2 linked regions of the Macaca mulatta genome follow. The protein of the gene in region 1 interacts with the protein of each later gene in a pairwise test. Links are inferred from orthologs where the notes say so. Each region holds a gene or a part of one and is shown in the gene's direction. Other genes may lie near its edges.

Region 1 (4,056 bases):
AAATAGTAACTAGCCAATCTGATCTTCAAAGTGTAACTCTTCCATCTTCAGTGTGGGGCCCTTGCAAAGGGCTTCCCTGCCTATTGCGCCACCAGCCCCTTGGACAGGGCCATCTTCCCCCCACCTCCTGGGAACGCCTTCCAGCAGGCTTCCAAGCACAAACCCTGAAGTGCCGTAGATCTTGGAAGACAAGACCTGGGCCTAAAAGAGTCACTTGGGGCCAGGCACAGTGGCTCATGCCTGTAATCCCAGCACATTGGGAGGCTGAGGTGGACGAATCCCAAGGTCAGGAGTTCGAGACCAACCTAGCCAACATGGTGAAACCCCGTCTTTACTAAAAATACAAAAAATTAGCTGGGCATAGTGGTGCACGCCTGTAATCCCAGCTAGTTGGGAGGCTGAGGCAGGAAAATCGCTTGAACTCAGGAGGCAGAGGTTGCAGTGAGCTGAGATTGTGCCATTGTACTCCAGCCTGGGCAACAAGAGTGAGACTCCATCCCAGAAAAACCCACAAAACTTCCCAACCTTTTCTCTTTCCCAATTTCACTCCCTCCTGTCCAAAGGTGTGTGTGTTTGCAGGTGGGGGGGGGGGTGGTGGCGGTGCGGAGGTGTCCCTAGTCCCAACTCATTCATCTTTGGGACTCCACAAAGTGGGGCAGGGGGCAACCTCAGATACCCCTCCAGCAACCATGACCCACTCACTAGCCTCAATCTCTTGAGGAAGGAATCAATTCCCACAAACTCTCTAAATCTTTCTACTCAAAATGTGGTCCATGGACCAGCGGCATCAGCATCACCTGGGAACTCAGAAATGCGAATTATGGGCTCCACCCCAGACTTGCTGAATGAGAACATCTGGGGTGGGGCCCAGGAGTCTGTTTTAGCAAGCCCTCTAGTTGTTTTTTTATGCCCTCTAGAGTCAGAACGACAGCTCTGCACGGTCCCCATTGTGCCCTGCCTGGGAGAGTACACAACACCCTCTTCTGCCATTAGAGCTCCCATAACGCCCTCTTTCCTGACAGCGCACCTGCACCCTCCTGAAACTACAGGTCCCACAATGCCCAGAGGTGCGCGCCGTCACTTTCTGGGATTATATCTCCCAAGGTGTCTTGCGAGTCAGACCGCCATCATGGCGCCCACCCTCCCAGCCACCGTCAGGACTACAACTCCCACAATGATCGGCGGCAGAACTACAGTCCCCAGCTGCTCCCGAGCGGCGCCACGTCGACTCCGCTGGGTGGGGCCGGCCTCGGGCGGGGCCGGCGGGGTCTGCAGGGTACCGGGCTGGTTACAGCAGCTCTACCCCTCACGACGCAGACATGGCAGCCCAGAAGGACCAGCAGAAAGATGTCGAGGCGGAAGGGCTGAGCGCCACGTGAGCGAGCCGGCTCTAGGCCCTCGGACCCGAGGCCCGGGAGTCCGGGACCCTGGCCCCCTCCTCCCTCGAGTGCCCGGAGTCCCAGCCCCGAGACGCACAAGCGCTGGCCCCGGTCTCCTCTAATGGGACCCTGGCGTCTGGGCCCCTACCCCCCTCCCCGCCTGTGATTCAGTAATCTGGGGTCCCGGGAGGGAGTCCAAGCCCCCTTAAACCCCTTCTTTTGCGGGGGTCTGAGGCTCCATCCCGGTCCACCACTGACCCGGCCCCACCCCTCGCAGGACCCTGCTGCCGAAGCTGATTCCCTCCGGTGCAGGCCGGGAGTGGCTGGAGCGGCGCCGCGCGACTATCCGGCCGTGGGGCACCTTCGTGGACCAGCAGCGTTTCTCACGGCCCCGCAACCTGGGCGAGCTGTGCCAGCGCCTCGTACGCAACGTGGAGTACTACCAGAGCAACTATGTGTTCGTGTTCCTGGGCCTCATCCTGTACTGCGTGTGAGTGCATCCCGGGCCCTGCACCCGCACTAGCCCCGACCGGGTGGACCCCTCCTCTCACAGCTCAGGCCCCGCCCTTCAGCGCCCGGGCCCTCCTCTCACCACCCAGGGCCCCCTCCTACCGCCCAGGCCCCTCCCCTCACCGCCCAGGCCCCTCCTCTCACCGCCTAGGCCGGCCCCGCCCCCAAGGATTGGCTCTGCTAGACCTACTTTGTCACCAAAGGGCCAGGTCCCTACCCCACCATCACCCTGGCCAGGATGCAGTGTGACTGAATGTCACCTGGCCCTCCCTGGTCTCCAGAATGTAGCTTGCCTCCCGCCGGTGGAGAAGGCCAGGGCTCCCTGGCTGACCAGCCCCAGCTGCCTAACCGCTGCCTCCCTGCACTCCTCCTCCAGGGTGACGTCCCCTATGTTGCTGGTGGCTCTGGCTGTCTTTTTCGGCGCCTGTTACATTCTCTATCTGCGCACCTTGCAGTCCAAGCTTGTGCTTTTTGGTGAGAAACCCCCTGCCCAGATGAATCCTTGGTCCCTCGAATCTTGGTCTTTTGGAATGCAAACCTCAGACCCCAAATCCAAGTCCTTCAAAACCCAAGTCCGCCGAAGCCTAGATGAACACTAGATCTCCCAAACCTGATCCTTTAAAAATCTCAGACACAACCGATGCTCCCATCGAGTCTCAGCCCCCTCAAATTGCTATTCCTCAAACCTAGGCTCCACCTGGCTGCTGTGCCTTAAACCTACTCCTCTTCAAACCACATGACTCCTCCCCTCTCTCCTCCCCTTGCCGCTTTCTGCGGCAAGCATCAGCTGCAGGTGCCCACACTGGACACCAGGTGGCGAACTTACACTGGCCTAGATCTGTTCCCGTTTCTTTTCCTGCTTTCTGGGATGTGACCAGAAAGAACTTGGAACTTGGGGAAGCTGAGGAGTGTGTTTCATGTGGTTCCCAGACTAGTACCAAGGACCACTGGGAGAACAAAATGCCAGGGGAAATTCCCCCCAGGGGAAAATCAAGGTTTGGAGTGGGGTCAAGGAGTTGGGATTGGGCTGTCAGGTAGACCTGAAGGCCAGGCTCTTCAGGGGCCTGCAAGTTATGTGCATGACGGGCTTAGGGGGAGGGAGCGCCTGCAGCACAGGCACCAGAGCATGCAGACCCCATCCCTGAGACTTCTATGAGAAGCCTGAAGTTGGTATTTTTATGTGAAATCATTCACTTTGCCAGCCACAAATCACATCCTTGTAAAACATCTCAAAACAAACACACATCCACAGGTCAGATTTGGCCCTTGGGCCACCAGTTTGAGACCCCTGGTCTGCGTGAGGGTTGCAGCAGGAGAGCCCTAGTCTAGGGAGCAGGAAGCTGGGATCCCAGGAACTTCCTGGAGGATGTGGGGCAGAGGGCAGAGCGTGGGGCTGAGGCAGGCGAGGACGGTGTGCTGTGTTCTGGAGGGCAGTGAGGACACCAGGGGAGCAGGGTGACCCCAGGACCTGGAGGGCCTTGGCATGAGGAGTTTGGATTTGATCCCGAGGACCTGAAGCTTATACAGATTGTTGGGGGGCAGCAGGGGTTACTCTGGGAGAGGGCATGAAGGGTCGGAACAGCGCCCCAATGCCATCTGCTTTCAGGCCGAGAGGTGAGCCCAGCGCATCAGTACGCTCTGGCTGGAGGCATCTCCTTCCCCTTCTTCTGGCTGGCTGGTGCGGGCTCGGCCGTCTTCTGGGTGCTGGGTGAGTACAGGGTCTGAGCAGCTGGGGTGGATGGTGGGGGCCAGGTACAGGAGCATGGCCCTGAGCTGCCGGCTTTCCTGCAGGAGCCACCCTGGTGGTCATCGGCTCCCATGCTGCCTTCCACCAGATTGAGGCTGTGGACGGGGAGGAGCTGCAGATGGAACCCGTGTGAGGTGTCTTCTGGGACCTGCCAGCCTCCCGGGCCAGCTGCCCCGCCCCTGCCTACTCCTGTCCTGCACAGCTCTGCTGCTCGGGCCCATAGCGCCGTCCCATCACAAGCCCGGGGAGGGATCCCGCCTTTGAAAATAAAGCTGTTACGGGTGTCATTCAGGAAATACTCCCCTAGCATCTTCTGTGGGTCTCTATGGGTGCAGCTGGGAATACTGTGCAGATCAGGGTTGGGGTGGAACCTGGGGTGTGGGCAAGATGATAAGGTAAACAGGTAAAATATTAATGGGA
Region 2 (3,979 bases), on another chromosome or scaffold:
GAATGCCTGGGTTCAAGCGTTCCTCCCATCTCAGCCTTCTGAGTAAATACGAATATTCTTGTTAGGGCTCTGTACTGTTTGTAGCATATTGGCTAAAAAGGATTTTTCACTGATTTAGCATTTCAGATTCTTTTCTCGCTCTTCAGCTTTTTTTAGTATAGTTTTCCTTCTCTTATTTTCATGGCCTGAAGCAAATATTTGTAAATCATCTCCTATATGTTCAGTACTTTCCTAAGCACTAGAGTATGCAGTTTTAGTTTCTTCTTGCTCCTAGCTCCGATGTGAAAATTCTAAAATGATATAAATAAACAGCTACACTAAATAACTAAAAATATTCCTTCCTTCCTTCCTTCCCTTCCTTCCTTCCTTCCTTCCTTCTTTCCTTCCTTCCTTCCTTCCTTCTGTCCTTCCTTCCTTTCATCCTTCCGTCCATCCTTCCAGCCATTGATCCATCTTTCCTTCCTTCTTTCCTTCCTTCCTTCCTTCCTTCCTTCCTTCCTTCCTTCCTTCCTTCCTTCCTTCCTTCCTTCCATCTATCTATACATCCATCCCTCCCTCGGTCGATCCCTCTATCCCTCCCTCCCTCCCTCCCTCCCAGTACTTGTACTCTCTGTCCATGATGCACCAGGAGCTCCACAAGGCTCTGAGGACACAATGGTAAATGAGACACACAGCACTTTGGGTCTCACAGAGCTCATATTCTAAAAATTAGAAATCATCTTACAGGTAAATTACTGTTTTAAATGCCTATTATTCATACCCTGTGCTAGAAGTTATGATGGCTATAAAAAATACCTGGAATTTCTGCTCCAAAAGCCTAGTCGAGGCAGAGACAAGCTCCCTTTGTCATTACAACTAAAAGAACTGCTCTAAAGGCAAGGTGAGCTGAGCAGAGTGATTTAGTTCCTTCAATAGCTGCTTGGTTCATCGAAACTTGAGTTCAAGTGCATCATGCAAATAGCTTTTAAATATTTGATCATTTTATTCTTGGTTATGGTTGCTTTGAGTGTTTTCAGTAAAACACCTGCTTGTGTTTCCTGAGTGAGACGTGTATATTAACTAGAGATGACGTTCTTATGAGTGATTATTGCCAATGAAAATGTACTTCATTAATAAATGAAATCTGCATTAATTATCTTTTTGCCATGTAACAAATTATCCCACAAGTTGGCAGCTTAAAATAACTTTTATTATTTCACAGGTTTTGGCATCAGGCATTTGGGAGTGACTTGGCTGAGTGATTCTGGCTCAGGGTCTGTCTGAGGCTGCAGTTAGACCCTCCACTGGCGTCGGAGGATCCACTTGCAAGCAGACTCACACACATGGCTGTTGGCTGGAGGCCACAGTTGCTCACCGTGTGGGCCTCTCCACAGGGCTGCTCATAATATGGCTGCTACATCTCCTCAGAGTGTGGGATCCAGAAGAGAGAGTAGGGCAGAAGCCACAGTATTCCTTATGGCCTACCTCGGAAATGACATGCCATCAATTTTTCCGTATCCTACGAATCACACAGGTAACCCTGGCACAATATGGGGAGAGAATGCAGAAGGATGTGAACCCCAGCGGGGTGCATCCTAAAGGCTGACTGGCTACCACAATATCCTTTCTCCACAATTTTTTCTTAACTCTTAGAAATATCACTTGAATAAAGTGAGCTTATGTCATGCTCCTACAAAGAGATTCAGGTGCCGCAGGATCTTTAGGACCATATGCAAAGAAGACAGAGCATGAGAGACTTTTTGTGTGTGTTTAGGTGGAGGTGTGTATGCAGCCGTGCTCTTGCAACTTTAAGAGCCTGTTGATCATTTAATACTATACTTCACAGTCCTCACCTGAGTACGTGGTGAGCCACCCCTGTAGGACAAGACCAGCCTTTGACCTTTAAAGGCTGCTGTTTACCTGTCTTTCCCCTTTTCTCAGTTTTTCCACCAGTGTGCTAACTGCAAAGTTGATTTAGGTGTACCAGGTTTAGTTGCTTGGTGAACTCACAAAGTGTTCCTTTGAGACTTAAAAGACAATAAGCCAGATTGAAGAGAATCAAACATATGGCATGGACTCAGTCAGTGATTCACACATTTGTCTGATCATAAGAATTATCTGCCATTCATTAGAAATACAGATTCTCAGACTTTCCTAGACCTATTATATCAGAATATTCTGTGGAAAGGCCTGTGTTTGTTTTTTTAAAGTCATTTCAGGTATTTTTTTAGGTTCCATAAAATGAGAAAACACTCGATTATATCACATTGGGAATAGGAATTAGATGGACATCTAACTTAATGGGGTTCATTTAATTTGAAATAAAATGGAGAGCACAATTTTAATAAGTGGACAGTTTTGTTTTCTAATTTTTCTTGATGAACATTTGCTCCAAACTGAGCAGGGTTGGAAGAAAGGTCTGATTGTATTGCTTTCTTGGTAGTCTGAGCTCCATGTTGCCTTCAGGTGATGAACATCTTTTTCTGATTGAAAATCTAATACTGAGAGATACAGGAGTTTTTGGTAAGTGTTCCTGAAATGCAAGCTAGCTTCTACATCTGGTGACTGTGGCTCAACCAAAAAGCAGCAATCCATTTCTTTCTTTCTTCCTTTCTTTTGTTTCTTCTCTTTGACAGTCTTGCTCTATCACCCAGGATGGAGTGCAGTGGTGTGATAATGGTTCACTGCAACCTTGAACTCCTGGGCTCAGGTGATCCTTCCACCCCAGCTTCTCAAGGAGCTGGAACCACACGCACATGCTACTACACCTGGCCAACTTTTTAATTTTTTGTACAGATGGGGGTCTCCCTATATTGTCTAGGCTGGTCTTGAACTCCCAGCCTCCCAAAGTGCTGGGATTACAGGTGTGAGCCACCGTGCCTGGCCCCATCAATTCATTTTAAGCACAAAGTCAAAATGAACCATAATGGATATTTTTGTGAGTACTTTCAGAGTGACAGAGGGGATTTTCAAGGTACTTTAGACTACATGCAACTTTTACTTTATGTTCTTATTTTAAAACTCCATAAGAGATACTATTCCATCGTATATAGTGCATATACTACTTTTTTTCTGTGGCCATCATAACAAATTACCACCAACTTGGTGGTTTAGAACAACAGAAATGTGTTCTTTCACAGTTCTAGAGTTGAGTCTGAAATTAAGGTGTTGGCAGGGCCATGCTCCCTCTGAAGGCACCGGGGAGCGAATCTTTGTTTATCTCCCCTGATGGCTCCAGTTGTGTTTTGGCTTGTGGCTACATAACTTCAGTCTCTACTTCCATCTTCACATGGTCTTCCTCTCTCCTTCCTGTGTGTCTTTTCCGTGTGACTCTTGGAAGGATACTTGTCACTGGATTTGGGACTCATTGGGACAATGTTATCTCAAGCTGCTTAACCTAATTACATATCCAAAGACCCCCTTTGCCCAAGTAAGCTCGTAGTCACAGATGATGAGTGTTAGGATGTGGAGATGTCTTTCTGGGTCTACCATTCAATGTACCACACTACTGTAAAACTGGAAGCAAATTATATGTAATATAGCTTGTAATGGCCCGAGTTAGCTAAGAATTTTTCTTTACTGAATATTTGTGGAGGCTTTAATCAAGAATGGCTCTGGCAGCACTTAGCGACGTCCTTGGTCTTTCTGTCCCTGTGTTTTTCTCTTCTAAGCTGTGCCTTCTCTGATGTGCCTTGTCCGTAGTCATGCTCCATGCCAAACCATGCATCACACTGGTTTTGTTGCTTTTTAATACAGAGGCTGTTGTACAATTTGAGTGAGTCCTCAGTTTCTGTTTGCGTTCATTTAAAGGTTAGTCTTACGGAACAGAAGCTGTCTGTTCCAAATTTGACAAGTATGTTTCCATTATGGTAGCTATTTCTACTTTTACTTGCTGTCATTCATATCCATATAAATATATGCCCTCCAACTCCGTTATTTTTTTCGAATATGACATATTAATAATTTCTGCAAAATGTATGCTGTCTCCTTTTTTTTATTT

The links.
Region 2: the proteins of RABAC1 (region 1) and SYT16 interact in binary tests that used the Homo sapiens proteins (3 or more experiments, as listed by UniProt). The link is inferred for Macaca mulatta from reciprocal best matches to the Homo sapiens genes RABAC1 and SYT16.

Annotation. Positions count from the first base shown.
Region 1 is NC_133424.1:52,998,059-53,002,114, reverse strand, and holds RABAC1 (prenylated Rab acceptor protein 1), read left to right. Parts: upstream 1-1,253; 5' UTR 1,254-1,319; coding exon 1,320-1,375; intron 1,376-1,656; coding exon 1,657-1,869; intron 1,870-2,265; coding exon 2,266-2,363; intron 2,364-3,495; coding exon 3,496-3,597; intron 3,598-3,680; coding exon 3,681-3,769; 3' UTR 3,770-3,918; downstream 3,919-4,056. UniProt on the Homo sapiens protein: General Rab protein regulator required for vesicle formation from the Golgi complex. May control vesicle docking and fusion by mediating the action of Rab GTPases to the SNARE complexes.
Region 2 is NC_133412.1:135,022,037-135,026,015, forward strand, and holds the start of SYT16 (synaptotagmin-16), read left to right. Parts: upstream 1-1,174; 5' UTR 1,175-1,386; coding exon of another isoform or gene 1,387-1,513; intron 1,514-3,979. UniProt on the Homo sapiens protein: May be involved in the trafficking and exocytosis of secretory vesicles in non-neuronal tissues. Is Ca(2+)-independent.